Mytilus edulis: one gene and its partner. The main gene of each other region encodes a partner of the protein of the gene in region 2 in a complex. Links are inferred from orthologs where the notes say so. Each region holds a gene or a part of one and is shown on either strand. Other genes may lie near its edges.

The links.
Region 1: nuclear pore complex protein Nup98-Nup96-like (region 2) and nuclear pore complex protein Nup85-like share a complex: the UniProt entries of both Drosophila melanogaster proteins name them as parts of the nuclear pore complex. The link is inferred for Mytilus edulis from reciprocal best matches to the Drosophila melanogaster genes Nup98-96 and Nup75.

The regions. Positions count from the first base shown.
Region 1 is NC_092352.1:40,183,686-40,191,377, forward strand, and holds the start of nuclear pore complex protein Nup85-like, read right to left. Parts: upstream 3,033-7,692; 5' UTR 2,975-3,032; coding exon 2,945-2,974; intron 2,885-2,944; exon of another isoform or gene 2,870-2,884; coding exon of another isoform or gene 2,855-2,869; intron 1,249-2,854; coding exon 1,149-1,248; intron 780-1,148; coding exon 678-779; intron 1-677. Other genes in the region: ketimine reductase mu-crystallin-like, read left to right, coding at 3,225-3,379, 7,116-7,260. UniProt on the Drosophila melanogaster protein: Component of the nuclear pore complex (NPC) that seems to be required for NPC assembly and maintenance. Required for nuclear import of phosphorylated Mad via importin msk.
Region 2 is NC_092351.1:7,551,180-7,558,430, reverse strand, and holds the start of nuclear pore complex protein Nup98-Nup96-like, read right to left. Parts: upstream 3,041-7,251; 5' UTR 2,952-3,040; intron 1-2,951. UniProt on the Drosophila melanogaster protein: Part of the nuclear pore complex (NPC). Required for MAD import as part of the Nup107-160 complex and required for nuclear export of Moe probably via its association with Rae1. Plays a role in nuclear mRNA export.

The DNA of each region.
Region 1 (7,692 bases), on a different chromosome or scaffold from region 2:
GTCAGAAATTTCTCGTTTTACATACTTTTTGTATCAAAATGTGTTCCAATGTAGTATGAAATTGGAGCTTTGGACATCTTTAAAAAAAATTATTGGTAAATAACTTATTCACTGTTTATTCAGACTTACAGAAAGATACTTTAATACTAGATTGTGGTTATGAATTTAGCAGGGTACAATAAATAAATAAATGAAATTGATTCTGGACACAACAGTCTGTATTACAAATTGAATTTGGTTGATTTACAAGAATTTTTACACATTGCCCCACTAGTATGGCTTAAAAGGGAAATAACTTAAATCTTGTCAATGGAAAAACTATGCATAATCATTATTTTTCGTTTTCAGGTATATGCTTAAGCTTGTAATCATGACTTAGATTTGACTTAGTAGGCAGCCGTCAAAAGTTTCAATTTTTTTTTCTTCATTATATCTGTTCAATACAAAATGAATAATTTATGCTTTTATATCTTTTTTTCTAGACTTATGCATATTAAACAGACAATTTTGTTCAGGGATTGACAGTTTTTTTAAATGGATGCCATTAAGAATATAAGATCCAATAACTCACTATGTTAGTCAATGAAAAACTGTTTCATGATTTGTGTTGATTTGTATTCCAACAACTCACTATATGAGATTCAAAACTTTCTCTTGATTAAGATAGATCTACTTACTATGAGATTCATTTACAAGCTTTCTCATGACTGGATGATATAAATCTATATCCCATCTCACTTCCCTGATCTCTTGTAATCTTCTACAGTGTAACTGATTTTCTACAACAGAAAATAATACAAACATTTCAGTGACAAGAATATACAATACACATAATGACAAGAATACATTTACACATTATGACAAAAATACATAATAGATATTATAGGAAGATGTGGTAAGAGTGTTAAAATGAGACAACATTCCATCCAAGTCACAATTTATAAAAGGTTAAGATACACATTGTGAACAAATTTCATACAAATTATTATGTCCATATATGGTCTCATGAAAAACTCCTATCGATCTGTTGACCAGAAAAAAAACTGTCTAAGAGAAAAAAATCAAAGAAAAAGGTTAAAGCAAAGAAAACATATGAAGATTAATTAATGTGATATTTAATCTATAATACAAGTACATGTAACAAATACCTGGATACAAGGTGGGTTTTCTTCCAGGAAATACAAAAAGCTGGTTCCCAAATCCCCATGTAGACTGTAGCCCTGCAGTACATGCTGGGTCATATATTGTCTGAAAATGAACAAAAAGTATAATCATTAACAACAAAATTAATGCATATATATTATACAAGCCAAGGTCTTCAACACAGAACAAAATCAATAATGTTTAGCAAAGATGTAAAAGGCCAATGTGAAATAAGGATAATAGGGAATTCATTTTGTAGTAAAAAAATCTAATTATATGTTTTTCATGTCTCTCATACATTTGCTTCCTATGGAACAACTATATAATAATTGATTTCAAGATTGATTTCTTCTGTTTTTCTTTTTTACATTGTACATGTTGTACTACATGTATGTGTTTATCTAATCCAAATGTAATAAGAAAGTCTTGTGTCCTTGTGTTTCACAGCACACTGTGTTCAAATGACTTTTTGTTCAATAATAATAAATTAATCCTAAAATTCAAAACAAATGTCAATAGTGAATACACTTCCTGTATCGGACTAGTGAAAATTTTCAATATTTTATATCGTCATAAAAGGACAAGTTTTGATATTTAGATTCAGGACTAGAAGATGTAAAAGTTTTTGGCGCAGACTGTCCAGTCACCACTCTCACTGAATACAGATTCCTGACTTGGAACAGGAGCATACATTACAGAATTATTCGAGGTGGCAAGGCAACATACAAAAAAATAAAATTGCCTTTCAGGACAACAGGGATCTCCATGGCCTGTTTAACGATGGCGCCCCGCCATCGTTCAAATGTCTCGCGCCATCGTCAAATGACCTGCGCCATCGTTAAATTGTCTTTTGCTATCGTTCAAAACTGTTATCGTTTTTATAGCCCGACAGCATTGTTTTTAGCAATTATAATCAAATGCATGTAATTGCATAAACCTCAGGCTTATATTATAATTCAATACAGTTCTGACGCCTGAGGGATATCCGGATAAGATCGCTAATCACTTGTACAGGTAGATCAACAAACCAGACAGGAGAATACTATCTGAAGATAGACGATTCATTTGTCGAATTATTCAACTAAGTTTCCGCAAATGCTTATGATAATTTAGATTAAATAAATCAATTAATAATCCAGTTACAGACCATGAAGGCTTGGCTTTTGAATGGTTAAAAACGGCAATTATTAAAAGTATTTATACTTCTATTTATAATGAAAATTCAAATAAATATAATTAAATAAGCAATGAATTAGCCTGTTCACCAATCCTTAGGTGGAGGGATTAAATAGTTTCGATCGCCCTTCACTGTACAACATAGACACAGTAGTTCCTCCATCGTTTAATTTTCATCTATGGAGATCCCTGACAAAAATACATGATCTTTCAACTCCCAAATATTACCAATTATGACACCAGTCTTTCCCATACTAGGAAAAAAAATAACTGACTTTGCAAACATGTAAATTATAATGTTTTTATGACGCAAACTGTGTTTTTATTCGACTGTTTAGGAAAAAAGATTTATTCATATGTATCAGTTGTTTGTATAAACTTCATATTCTATATATTTCAGCAAGATGGAAGCTGATCCAAAGAGTACGTAAATAGAAAAATATTTGTTTTAAGATTTCTTGAGAGGGTCAAAATCTTTTTATGAAAAGTGGTAAAAGGTTCAGAAAAAGACGTGATTAAATGAACAAATAACAACATTTGAAAGAAACATTGAAGCCGAAACTTGTTGAAAATTCTGTTTGATGTAACAATTGAATTGAAGTGATTAAATTATTAAAATGAAAACCTGGCAATAGACTTTTTCCCGCTCGGCCATTTTGGTTATTTCCCTTTAATAAGGGGCATTCTAAAATAAATATTCTGGATCTGATGCTATGTTTCCTTTTAACTTTACATTAAAAAAAAAACTTTTGTATGCAATATTTAATAAAATTATGATTTAGAAACTGGTTTTTTGTTGTACATATCTAAAAAAAAAACAACCAGTTTTTAGTTATTTTACAAAACACCAAACTATTGAGATCGGAGTCAAGTACCCATACTAGAACTTGAGGTCAAAATTCAGAATGGAACTTATGAAATTTATATCTGCTTCCCAAGTGAAAAATGTTCTTACATTTGAATTGCTTATTCCACAAATGGAAAAAGCTCTTGCCAAATTTTCAGACAAAAAAGTTGTTCAACCTGTAAGATCTGTTATTCCTGTCAAGGAATCTGGTGGGTATGTATGCACACTATATACTTATTTACAACCCTCCTCCCTGAGGAGCACCATCATGAGTTATGATGGAAAGAAGAACATTTGTCACACTGTATTAGCACATATCAATAGAATTTTTAAGCCTGGCTGTCACATGACTTACTACCAGAAAATTAACCATTCCCAAAGAAAAAATGAATTACAATCCATAAAAAACATACACACATGCACTCACTTCATAGGGGCTTGTAACCCCAAGGGTGACTGGGGTATAGAAATATGGTCACTTGGTCTTCTCCCGACCGGCAGTAAAACGGTTGCTGAAGTGGAGCCTCCGTTTGGCTGTGCGGGATGTATCAAGTTCGCAGTCACGTCCGTCAGAAGGGGACGTTATATCCGATGCCTCCTGTAAAGAGAGTGCCACGCTCTTTGCACGTTAAGAACCCTTGCAACAACTCTTTGAGGGGTCCGTAGGTGGCCTGTTGCAAAGCAAAATTTCTGTCCCTATCCAATATACCCTAATTTTCCAGTGGCAGTCCAAATTTCCCCGACCATCATCCTAGATGGCCTCTCTTACAACAACCTACCTATTGTATTTATTGTGAACTTGTTCTCGTCCTGAATATGCATGAAATATTTGCCACTGGACGTTAAGCAACCAACAATCAATCAATCATAGGGGCTTGTATAGTATATAGTGGTCAGATGAGGTAAATCATTTAAGGTTCATCATAAGGAATTGAAAAATATGGCTGTGTTTACACCTCCAAAATTACTATGAGTACAGACAAACTGGTACATCCAGGAAAGTTTTAAGGCATGGCAGGAACTAGATATATAAAAGTTATATGAAGTCTACGTTTCAGAAAATTAAAAATTTACCTGGATTTTGATGTTCATTTTTTTCCAGTCTGCAGAAGATAGCAAAATAAACAAACACCTGAGTTTCTTTTGATACGGTCCACTCAGTTACACAATTAAACCTGTTAAATAACCTATTGTTTACAGGTGTCTATTGTCCATCTATTGTCCATTTAAATCAATACTACTCACAACATTGATTATATGAGGGGAGCTTCTCAATCGTTTTCACTACTTAGTTAATTTTTGCACCTTCTGCAGGAACGAAAAAAAATGGATAGCAAAATCTAGAAAAGTTTATAATTTTCTGAAACATAAAATGCATTTAAAATTTATATATCTATATATCTGCCATCCCTTAAAACTGTTGCAGGTGTATAGGTTAGTCTGTACTCAGAGTAAAATTTGGGGTGTAAATACGGCCATTTTAGCCAAAAGGTTATGATGAACCTTAAATGCAGTCACCATCCTATATAATACATTTATAGATATAAAAAAAATAAAAAAACCAAGTTTCTTCCTACCAAGAAAAAAATTGAGTTCAAATGTTCAAAGATTTGGTTTCCTAATGGGATGAAAAAGATTCCGTTTGACTTTAGAATCAAAGTCACAATAGTCAGGAGGGGGGGTCGGAGGGGTCCTGATCCCTTAATCCCAAATTTAAAAACATGAAATCCTGAGGTCCCAAGTTTAAAGAAATTTAAATCCTGACATCCCAAAATTCGAAAAAAGAATTCTTGAATCCCGAAAGTATCAATCCCGAAATCCTGATCTTAAAAACACCAGATCACGGAGTCCTGGTAAAGGTCCTTCCCCTTCAGTCAGGGGTAAAAGTAATTTTTATTTACTTGACACAGTGATATTAATTTATTTGTTTATAAGTAAATTTGTAGGATACTTATACAAGTGTATTTTATTTACTTGTATAGGTAAATAACTTTTTGGCTTAGTTATGTCATTTGAAATTCAGATTTTTTACTAAATACAAGTGGACGTGGCCAGGTACTTGTACATCCAAACAACATAGACAGTAGGTACATATCTGAGAGTACTCACAGTTAACTGACAGCTAGTTCAAAGCAAAATTTTGAAAAATTACTTGTACAAGTAGAACCCCTGACTGCACAACTGCTTCAACTGCTATTGGTACACTGATATTTTGATAAAAATTTGTTTTCAAAATTGACAATATCAGAACTGTGTGTCCAACTTTTACCAAATTTGAAATGATGAGATGAACCACTGCATTTTGATTTTTAAGTCATTATGTCAAAGTTCAAGGAAACAGCAGCAATTGATAGAATTATACTCAACAGTATAATTAACCATCATCAGATTATCTGGACAATTTCCCTTGGAAAGAAAAGACCCTTTTGGTTTTTTTTGTCAGTATCTCATTGAGATACATGTACATGTTGTACTGACAAAAAAAAAACCCCAGAAGGGTCTTTTAGATACTGACAAAAAAGAAAAGGGGCTTTTTGATACTGACAAAAAAAAAATTAGGGTCTTTTCCATGTGTTGCCTTTCAAAGTGAAATTGTCCAGATATTTTGATGGTGGTTAATTTCATTGTTGAGACTCATGGGTAAGGTCTAATGAAAAAAGAATGCATTTTGGGGAAATTTGGTTTCAGGACAAAATCTTATAAACCAAAATCAGATTTTTGCCTTTTCAGGTGAATAAAAAGAACCCACTGATCTTTAGGTAAAAGGTCAAGAGTCTTACAGGTATGCATTTAATTAATTTTTCAAAAAATCTATGGTACCACCATATCTGATAATGGACAACTTTGGAGTTTGATGCATTTTTGTCAAAAACTTGGGTTTTAGTGAACATCATTTATGGGTTTAAGGGCATCATCACTTCCATTCCCATGTTGAGCAAGTGGTTGGAAAAAAATGATGCTGTATTGCAAGAATTATTATAATCCCATACAAGGTTATAGTTTTGATTTTAAGTACCATGAAGATGTAGTCAGATAAATTTGAAACTTAGTATACCATATAAAAAAGAAGATGTGGTATGATTGCCAATGAGACAACTGTCCACAAGAGACCAAAATGACACAGAAATTAAAAACTATAGGTCACTGTACAGCCTTCAACAATGAGCAAAGTCCATACTGCATAGTCAGCTATAAAAGGCCCTGAAATGAGAATGTAAAACAATTCAAACGAGAAAACTAACGGCCTTATTTATATAAAAAAAATGAACGAAAAACAAATATGTTACACATAAACAAACGACAACCACTGAATTACAGGCTCGTGACTTGAGACAGGCATAATGTGGCGGGGTTAAACATGTTAGCGGGATCCCAACCCTCCCCCTAACCTGGAACAGTGGTATAACAGTGCAACATAAGAACGAACTATAAAAATCAGTTAAAAAAGGCTTAACTCATCAGATGGACAAAAATACAAATACAAGTGGACGTGGACGGGTACATGTATATCCCAACAACATAAAGATACTAGGAACAGATCTGAGAGTACTTGCATTTATCTGACAGCTAGTTCAAAGCCACTAACAACTAATAAAAAAATCATGCATCTTAGACTAAATTACCAATCTGTCACATCCAACATCCAATGGATTTAGTGTAAAGATGTCATAAACAGTCAGAGAAAAACATGACCTTGTGCAATGCCGAGATACAGTTATCGACAGATTGTAGATCCATGAATGTGTATATGTATACATTTCATTATGATGTGGACTTTACAAAATATATGCCAGATTAGGATTTTGACCCATATTTCATGGTTCACTGAACATGGAAATGATACAATATCATTTATGAGCATGACATTGTGTCCTATTCATTATGCTCTACAACATACTCTTGTTTCTTATATATCAAATGTTTATAACTTAAATTTTTTTTTTCACAGATTTTTTGGTTTGATGCCATCTTTATGCTCTGAAGACAATGTTCTTGCTACTAAACTGGTATCATTTTATCCAAACAACAAGGATGTCCCCACTCACAATGCAGTTATTGCCATGTTTAATGCGTCAAATGGAGTACCTGAAGTTGTAGGTATTAAAAACAAAATAAATTCATTTATGTAACTTTTTTAATGATAGTAATGTACTACTATCAGAAGCTGGTAAAAAAATATGCAAGAAATCTTTTATCAATTCAGCTTTTACTGGGGAGCAAAGGAAATGGTACATTCTCGTGCTGGTTTTGATTAATTTATGAAAATGATAATTCTCCTATTCAATTTGTAAATCACAGATTTTACCTCAACTAAAAAAGGCATTACACAAAAGAAGAGATGTCATTATTGTATTGAGGTCAGTTGAGTAAAGTACCATAGTGTCATTAAAATACATTATAAGTAAGTTAGGAGATGATGCACCATGGTTAATTCATAGTGCAAAATTAAGTTTAGTTGTAAACATTTTCCAAAAAAACATCATTGTGGTACCATATGTCTGATCCTCAATGTTGTTTAAATACAG
Region 2 (7,251 bases):
TTTTTCTTATTATTATTTTGATCTCTCTGTTAACTTGGTCCATTCAAAGCACGTTCCACCTGGTTGTCAGAATCGTGGGTGAAATATGTTTTGTTATTTTAAAATAACATGTTGTAATATTTCTTGAAAGTAATTCCATCATTCAGTATTGTATGGTACAATATTTGTTTTTTAAAAGATCATCAATATAATTAAAATATAGATCTCTGATTTCGTTACACTACATAATGTAATATAACGAAATTAGATATATATATTTTAGTTAGATTCAAAGAACACCTCTTTATCAAGGCATTTGTCAACTTCAATCATATTGTCCCTTTTATTTCATCTTTGATTGATATATTTTCAATGTTTGGTGGATTAGTTGTAAATATAAAGTATATATCTAAACTATTGGTTATTTTGCTGTTTGTGATAGACTTTCTTCACTGAAGTGATTCTATGAACTTTTTACTATAATTATTGGGTTTCAAGTTGTCTTTCCTTGAACCTCGCCTGTGTTTCCCATAAAATATATGGCATGTTGAAATCTCCAGTGTCAGAGTGCTAAGTTTAGTAGATTGTCAAAGGGGTATCAAAGAAATGTGTAAAAGCCATCAATGAACTATTTTTTTTTCCAGGTACTAGTATTAAGATGTTTACTGCCTTGATATCAACTTAGTTTGATTCCAGTATATTTACAGTCAGTGACGAGTGTTTCCAGCTATATAGGGTTAAAACTCCACCACCTTCATGTTCATACTTTAAACAATACAATACTTCAAAATATTTGTATCGAAGATTTCAGCACTTGATTTGGTTTATTATCTAAGTGTGTTCGTATGCCTGTATTATATGAGGTTCGTGCATTTCTATTAAGTGTAGTAAATTCTTTCTTTTTGCAGAATGTTCAATCTCCAGCTTTTCGATAGACACACCTATTTTGTTCACATCCATTCTTCCAATAACATCCACATTTAGAAGAAAAAAACCATTGTTCATCCCAAATGGAGGAGTTGCAGACAGTTTGACTGCTTGTCGAAAGATCTGAAATTGTCAATTAACACAGCTGACGGACTCCAAAACTGGGAATCAGTGGCTTCAAACTAATATTTCATATTTTCATCTGATGAAAATAGGGTTGTATTTACTTGTTTTCATCACATTTCCGCATTAAAAAATACTTCATACCTACATTAAACAAATATTTACTTTTTATTTGATTTTTGTCGAGCCTTCGACTTTAGTCGAAAAAGCAAGACTAAGCGATCCTACATTCCGTCGTCGTCAGCGTCGTCGTCGTCGGCGGCGTCCACAAATATTCACTCTGTGGTTAAAGTTTTTGAAATTTTAATAACTTTCTTAAACTATACTGAATTTCTACCAAACTTGGACAGAAGCTTGTTTATGATCATAAGATAGTATTCAGAAGTAAATTTTGTAAAAATAAAATTCCTTTTTTTTCCGTATTCTATTTATAAATGGACTTAGTTTTTCTGCGAGGAAACATTACATTCACTCGGTGGTTAAAGTTTTTAAAATTTTAATAACTTTCATAAACTATCCTTGATTTGTACCAAACTTGGACAGAAGCTTGTTTATGATCATAAGATAGTATCAAGAAGAAAATTTTGTAAAAATAAATTTCCACTTTTCCGTATTTTACTAATAATGGACTTAGTTTTTCTGCGAGGAAACATTACATTCACTCTGTGGTTAAAGTTTTAAAATTTTAATAACTTTCATAAACTATCCTTGATTTGTACCAAACTTGGACAGAAGCTTGTTTATGATCATAAGATAGTATCAAGAAGAAAATTGTGTATCTTATGATCGTTGCGTCACTGTCTATATATATTTGATATAATAGGTTTATACTGTTCAGTAATTGCTATAGAAGCACTGTAATAAAAAAAAAAAAAACGTAGTTTCGAACAGGATAATAATAAGTGCCTGTTTTGTCTTTGTGTGACTTTTAGGAATAATGTTTTAAAAATTCTTCTTATTTTTTCCTGGTTCGATACATGTTATGTTACATTTAATTTTCCCTCAATTATTAGAACTTTTGTGAGTAAGTTTGCTCTTGATCTAAAGACATAAGTATTAAAACAAAGCCTAATTGAGCCTCAAACTTGTTGAGTGAAGACTTTTTTTTTATAGAATTTTTGAATAAAAAAATACTTTTATTTGCAAATTCACTGGATTTAATCAGGGAATTTGTATAACATGTATAAAAGATCTTAAATATTTCAGTGATTTTGTAAAATCCCGACTACGGTCAAAATCATTGATTTGATAAAATCACTTATCAGTTTGACAGTGATTATACAAAATCACTGAAATTTCAGGAATTAAAAAAAATCCCTGAATTTACAAATTGACCGTATCATATATATATATACCTGAAATTTGTCTCATGGTAATTTGTAACAGTTTTAGAGAGATCCATATTCTTAAACACGAGTTATTGTCTGGAAACTAAAAAATGCTTGGTTTTGGCCCTTTTTGGGCCCTTAATTCCCGCATGAAAATTCAGCCAAATCTGTTTAAGAGGATATAAAAACACTTATTTATTCCAATGACCACGAACCTTGTGCTTCCAAAGTTTTTTTTTACTATATATATCTGTCCACCTATTTCAGTCTCCGATATGCCTACTGAAAATTGTTTCAGATGTATATGTTTTGTTAACCTGTTAACCCGGCCTCGCCCGGTTCAGGTCAAATCATTTAACTGTCTTCACTTACAAAACATTACAATATTGTTCATACATATTTCTGTTATTATTTACAGTGAAGATCTAAAGTTATATTTTGATATGATTAACATACATTCCAAAGTTACAAACAACTTAATAGCATGGACTATTGCCGTTTCAAAAGTAGAATTCCCGAAAACTGATTCAACAGTTGTTATATATAACGATATCTACAAAAAATGATCTGATTATTAGGAAATATACAACTCACCTTAATAAAATTGAATTCAGATAAACGAGCTTTCGTACTAGAACAATAAGGTCCGAATGTCGAACCCAACAAATAATATTTGTTTATAGACACATATTATAGTGATTTTCTATTAATAGAAAAGGGAAAATACAGTGTTTACCTGTTTAAACCAGTTTTAACGGAGTGAAGTTAGAATTGACCAGTGAGAATGTGGAAAAACGCCCCTTTAAGCACATTTAGCCACGCCTTGTTACGCCTATCAGTTAAATATGATTTATTTTTAGTAAAGGGAATTTTATTCTGTTCTGGTTTTCTCTAGATGTATCCATTTACTTTAGCAACAGTTCTTTTCTCTGACTTTTACTCCCAAGGCTTGCATTATTAATGCGTTCGATAAATCAACGTTTAACACACAGTCACTTCTCCGTATTCTTTTCAGAGACCGTGTCTGTGATGTAACACAGTATCAAAATCGGCAACCAAAAATAGCAACGGAAATATTACAAGTTTTCTTATAGACTAAAACAATAAATATTTCATGATTTGACATTATGCACGTCCTTCAGTGGACTTCAGTATAGCTCAATTTATTAAAGTATACACGAGACCAAACGTTGCTTTTTGTGTGTGTTTTGTTGTTGTTGTACATTAACTGGTTTTGCGTCATGTTTTTATTTCAATAGATATAGTGTTCACCCCAAAAAGTAAAATCTACGGAAACGTCCACAAATAGTAATCTTTTTAAAATGGCCGGGTAATTAAGATATGTTACAGACATTCATTTCTTTAAAAAATAAAGAATGGTTTTTATAAACAGTTACATGTATGGATTATAGCAAATTTGTTGTGAATATTTAAAGAAATCAAACGTTGTCATTTTGAACCTAGGATTAACATTTAACTTTTTTAAACCAGTTACACGTACTAGCGGATTTATATTATTTATTATTTGGATCCTTTATAAAAAGGTTTTTAGAACATAGTGCAGGGGACTCATAGTCTTTTCAACTTCATTTGATGGTACTTTTGTTGTAAGAGCTAATAGTATTTGTCGTGGTGAAGTCAGAACCCCTGAGTTTTTAAACGGGACGTATTATGGTATATCGTTGTCTGTCCGGCCGTCCGTCGTCAGTATGTCTGAAAATAACTCTGAAAAACACATACTAGTAAACAATTAACACGAAACTTCGGTGAATTGATTATATCTGTAGGACTCAAATCTATGGTGAGTTCCAAATCTATGGCAAATGTGACGTCATGCCATCCAAAATCTATGGCAGATTTTTTACAATCCTAATCTATGCCGGGCAATTGAGGTATGATTGACCTGACAATATAAAATGTAAATGACCCTTACCTTCACCAAGTCCGTGATGTCACTCCATTCCAAGATGTGAATAAAATGACAGGTGATTATAAAACAATTGGTAAAACATTCTTGGGCTTTACACTGCTTGAAAGATTTATATGTTTTCTTTAGAATGAGCCATAAATGAAAATTTTTATAGGCCCAGAAATTATTAAAAAAAATAATTAAAGTAAATTCAATTGACCTAGACTTATTTTTGCATCAATTACATTTTATAATAAACAAGAAATAATAGTAACAGGATAATGTTACGAAGTCTTCCAAACAGAGCTTCCATAATTCGTCATTCTCATGGTCGCCTGACATTGGGCAAAGTCCAGTACAAATTGGTTAGGTCTAGTAAAATGATATGCCTATGTGACGTCTAGGAAATTGACCCTGTATGTCATTCAAATTTTCTTGAAATGACAAACAGCAATAAATATGGTAAAGGGGTGGGTATCTCACCGTTTACAAGTTCTCAAAAAAAGAGGGGGGAGTGATCCCCAGTGGACTCGCTCTTTATTTCATTTGATTTAGTTTATTGTCCCATACAAGACATACAAGAATATATATGGTTTCGGGGTGTGGATCTTAACCGTTTACAAGTTTTCAAAAAGAAGGGGGGTTGACCCCCATGATACCCCCTATATTTCATTTGATTTGTTTTATTGTCACATACCAGAATATATGTGGTGTATGGGCGGGGATCTCGACCGTTTACAAGTTCTCAAACAGAAGGGGGTGGGTGACCCCAGTGACTCCACTATATTTCATTTGACTTGTTATCTTGTCCCATAGATGAATATATATATAGTATATGGTTAAGGGGTAAGTATCGCACCTTTTACAAGTTCTCAAAAAAGAGGGGGGTTTTATAACATCAGAATACTAATAGCTTACGTTTCGTGTAAGTTAAAATTACCGCCGACTTGGACAACTATATATAACTTTATTTCCTCTATCATATAGAGATTTGGTGACACCGTGTACATGCATGAACAATATTCCTGTGCCTTTTGCCATTTGGGAAATGTAAACGACTTGTAATTAGAGATTTTCGGCGATGAAATATTTCATACAATTGTTCTTTGACATCTTAGCCAAAAGCACATAGGATAATAAACTACGAACGGATTTCTATTGAGCACTACTTCTTATGTGCAACTTCAAATTTTTTGGTAGTTCGACGATCATTTAAGGTTTTTCTGGTCATATGTATTGCATTCCAGAATTGAAAGTATGAAAAAAGTGCCAAATTAGTTATTCTAATAACATATTAACCAGCCAGATAATAACAATAGCACTTTTAACACCATTCAGTGGGAAGAACACAAATTTATCTATAGGATGGTAGCATAAGGCAGCTTAACTGCTTAAAAAACGCTTTAGTCTGTTGTTTTTTTTGTGGAATAAAAGCATTGTAAGGCTAAATACAACATTTATAAACAAAAAATCATGAATGTCGGATTAATAATATCTTTCATTCTCTAATACTAACACACCTTGTACATATAGCCTTGAATATTAAACTCAAACTGTTATATGATCTTATATCACGTCTTGTCAGAAAGGAAGTCTGTTTGTTTATATTTTTTTTATCATATTCACTTGAAATAAAGTGGTCAAACTCGAAAAAAAACGATCAAATCACTCGAAAAACCACGATCCTAGCCGGACACTATACCTACCGTGATTATGAGCAACAGGACGGGTGCCCCATGTGAAACAGGGTCTGCTAACCCCCATTTTGATGGGGTTCGTGTTGCTTAGTCTTTATTTTTCCATGTTGTGTTTTGTGTACTATTGTTTGTTTTTGTTTTTGTTTTTTAGCCATGGCGTTGTCAGTTTATTTTCGATTTGTGAATTTGAATGTCCCTCTAGTATCTTTCGCCCCTCTTTTATAAATACAAAACTTTATTTTTTTTCTTAATGATTCTCGTAGGATTTTTCACGTGGGTTTTCATTAAGATTTGTTAATTTTTAGAGTTTTTCTTATTTCTAAAGATAGTTCAGACTGTCCCTGATTTCTAAGACTTTTTGCCCGGTTAATAAATGAAATGAAATTTAAAAAGATTTAATTTTAAGACCAAGTTAACATAATGTTTGTTCCAATTATTTTGCTTAGTAATTTTTTCCAGTATGTAGATGATTGATGGTTGGTTGCTTAACGAAAATTGTACATTGATATTTCCTACCAAATCAAATCAAATCAAATCAAATCGTATTATTGGTGTAAAATCTAAATATTGGATTGTTACCAAGACAAACATGACAATCATTACAAACATACAATATTTAGATTTAAACAACATTCATATCATATAAGACTCCATATTTAGATGTTTTTGGAGGAGGTGATGTAATTGTTATAAAATATATCATAACAAATAGGCCTACTATAAGAAAAATATAAAATAGTCATAACTTTGTTACATCGACTAGTTTTTCGTATCAGCTAGGCTATTTCTTTGCAACAAATGAATGCTCAATATTCAACCAATTTAAAACATAAATCCCTATACAATAATTTCAGTTACGTCATACTCATTAAATGTAAACACAAATGCAATTTTTTCCTTATCAGACATTTGGGTGAAATCTGGAACTATACTCTCTACTTCCTGAAAAAGTTTTTGCCTACATCCTTCTAAAATTTGACGTTTTAAAGCAAAATGATATGATATTCATCTTCTACCTCCTATTTACAGAGAGGACATAATCTTTTTTCCAAAGGTAATTTACGGTGTCTACCCTGTTCAATATGTAGATGACTTATTTTTATAAAATTTGATATCATGTATCGATCTAAATCTATTAATACAAACAGTTCTAATTTGAATTCTTTTTTTAATTTTCTGCGTGTTCTTAGTTTGTTTCCATTAGGGTTATTTTGGTCGTTAAAAAACTGTCTTTCCAGAAATCTGTATACTTTTCAGCTATTTTTTACCTACAGCATTAATAAATTTC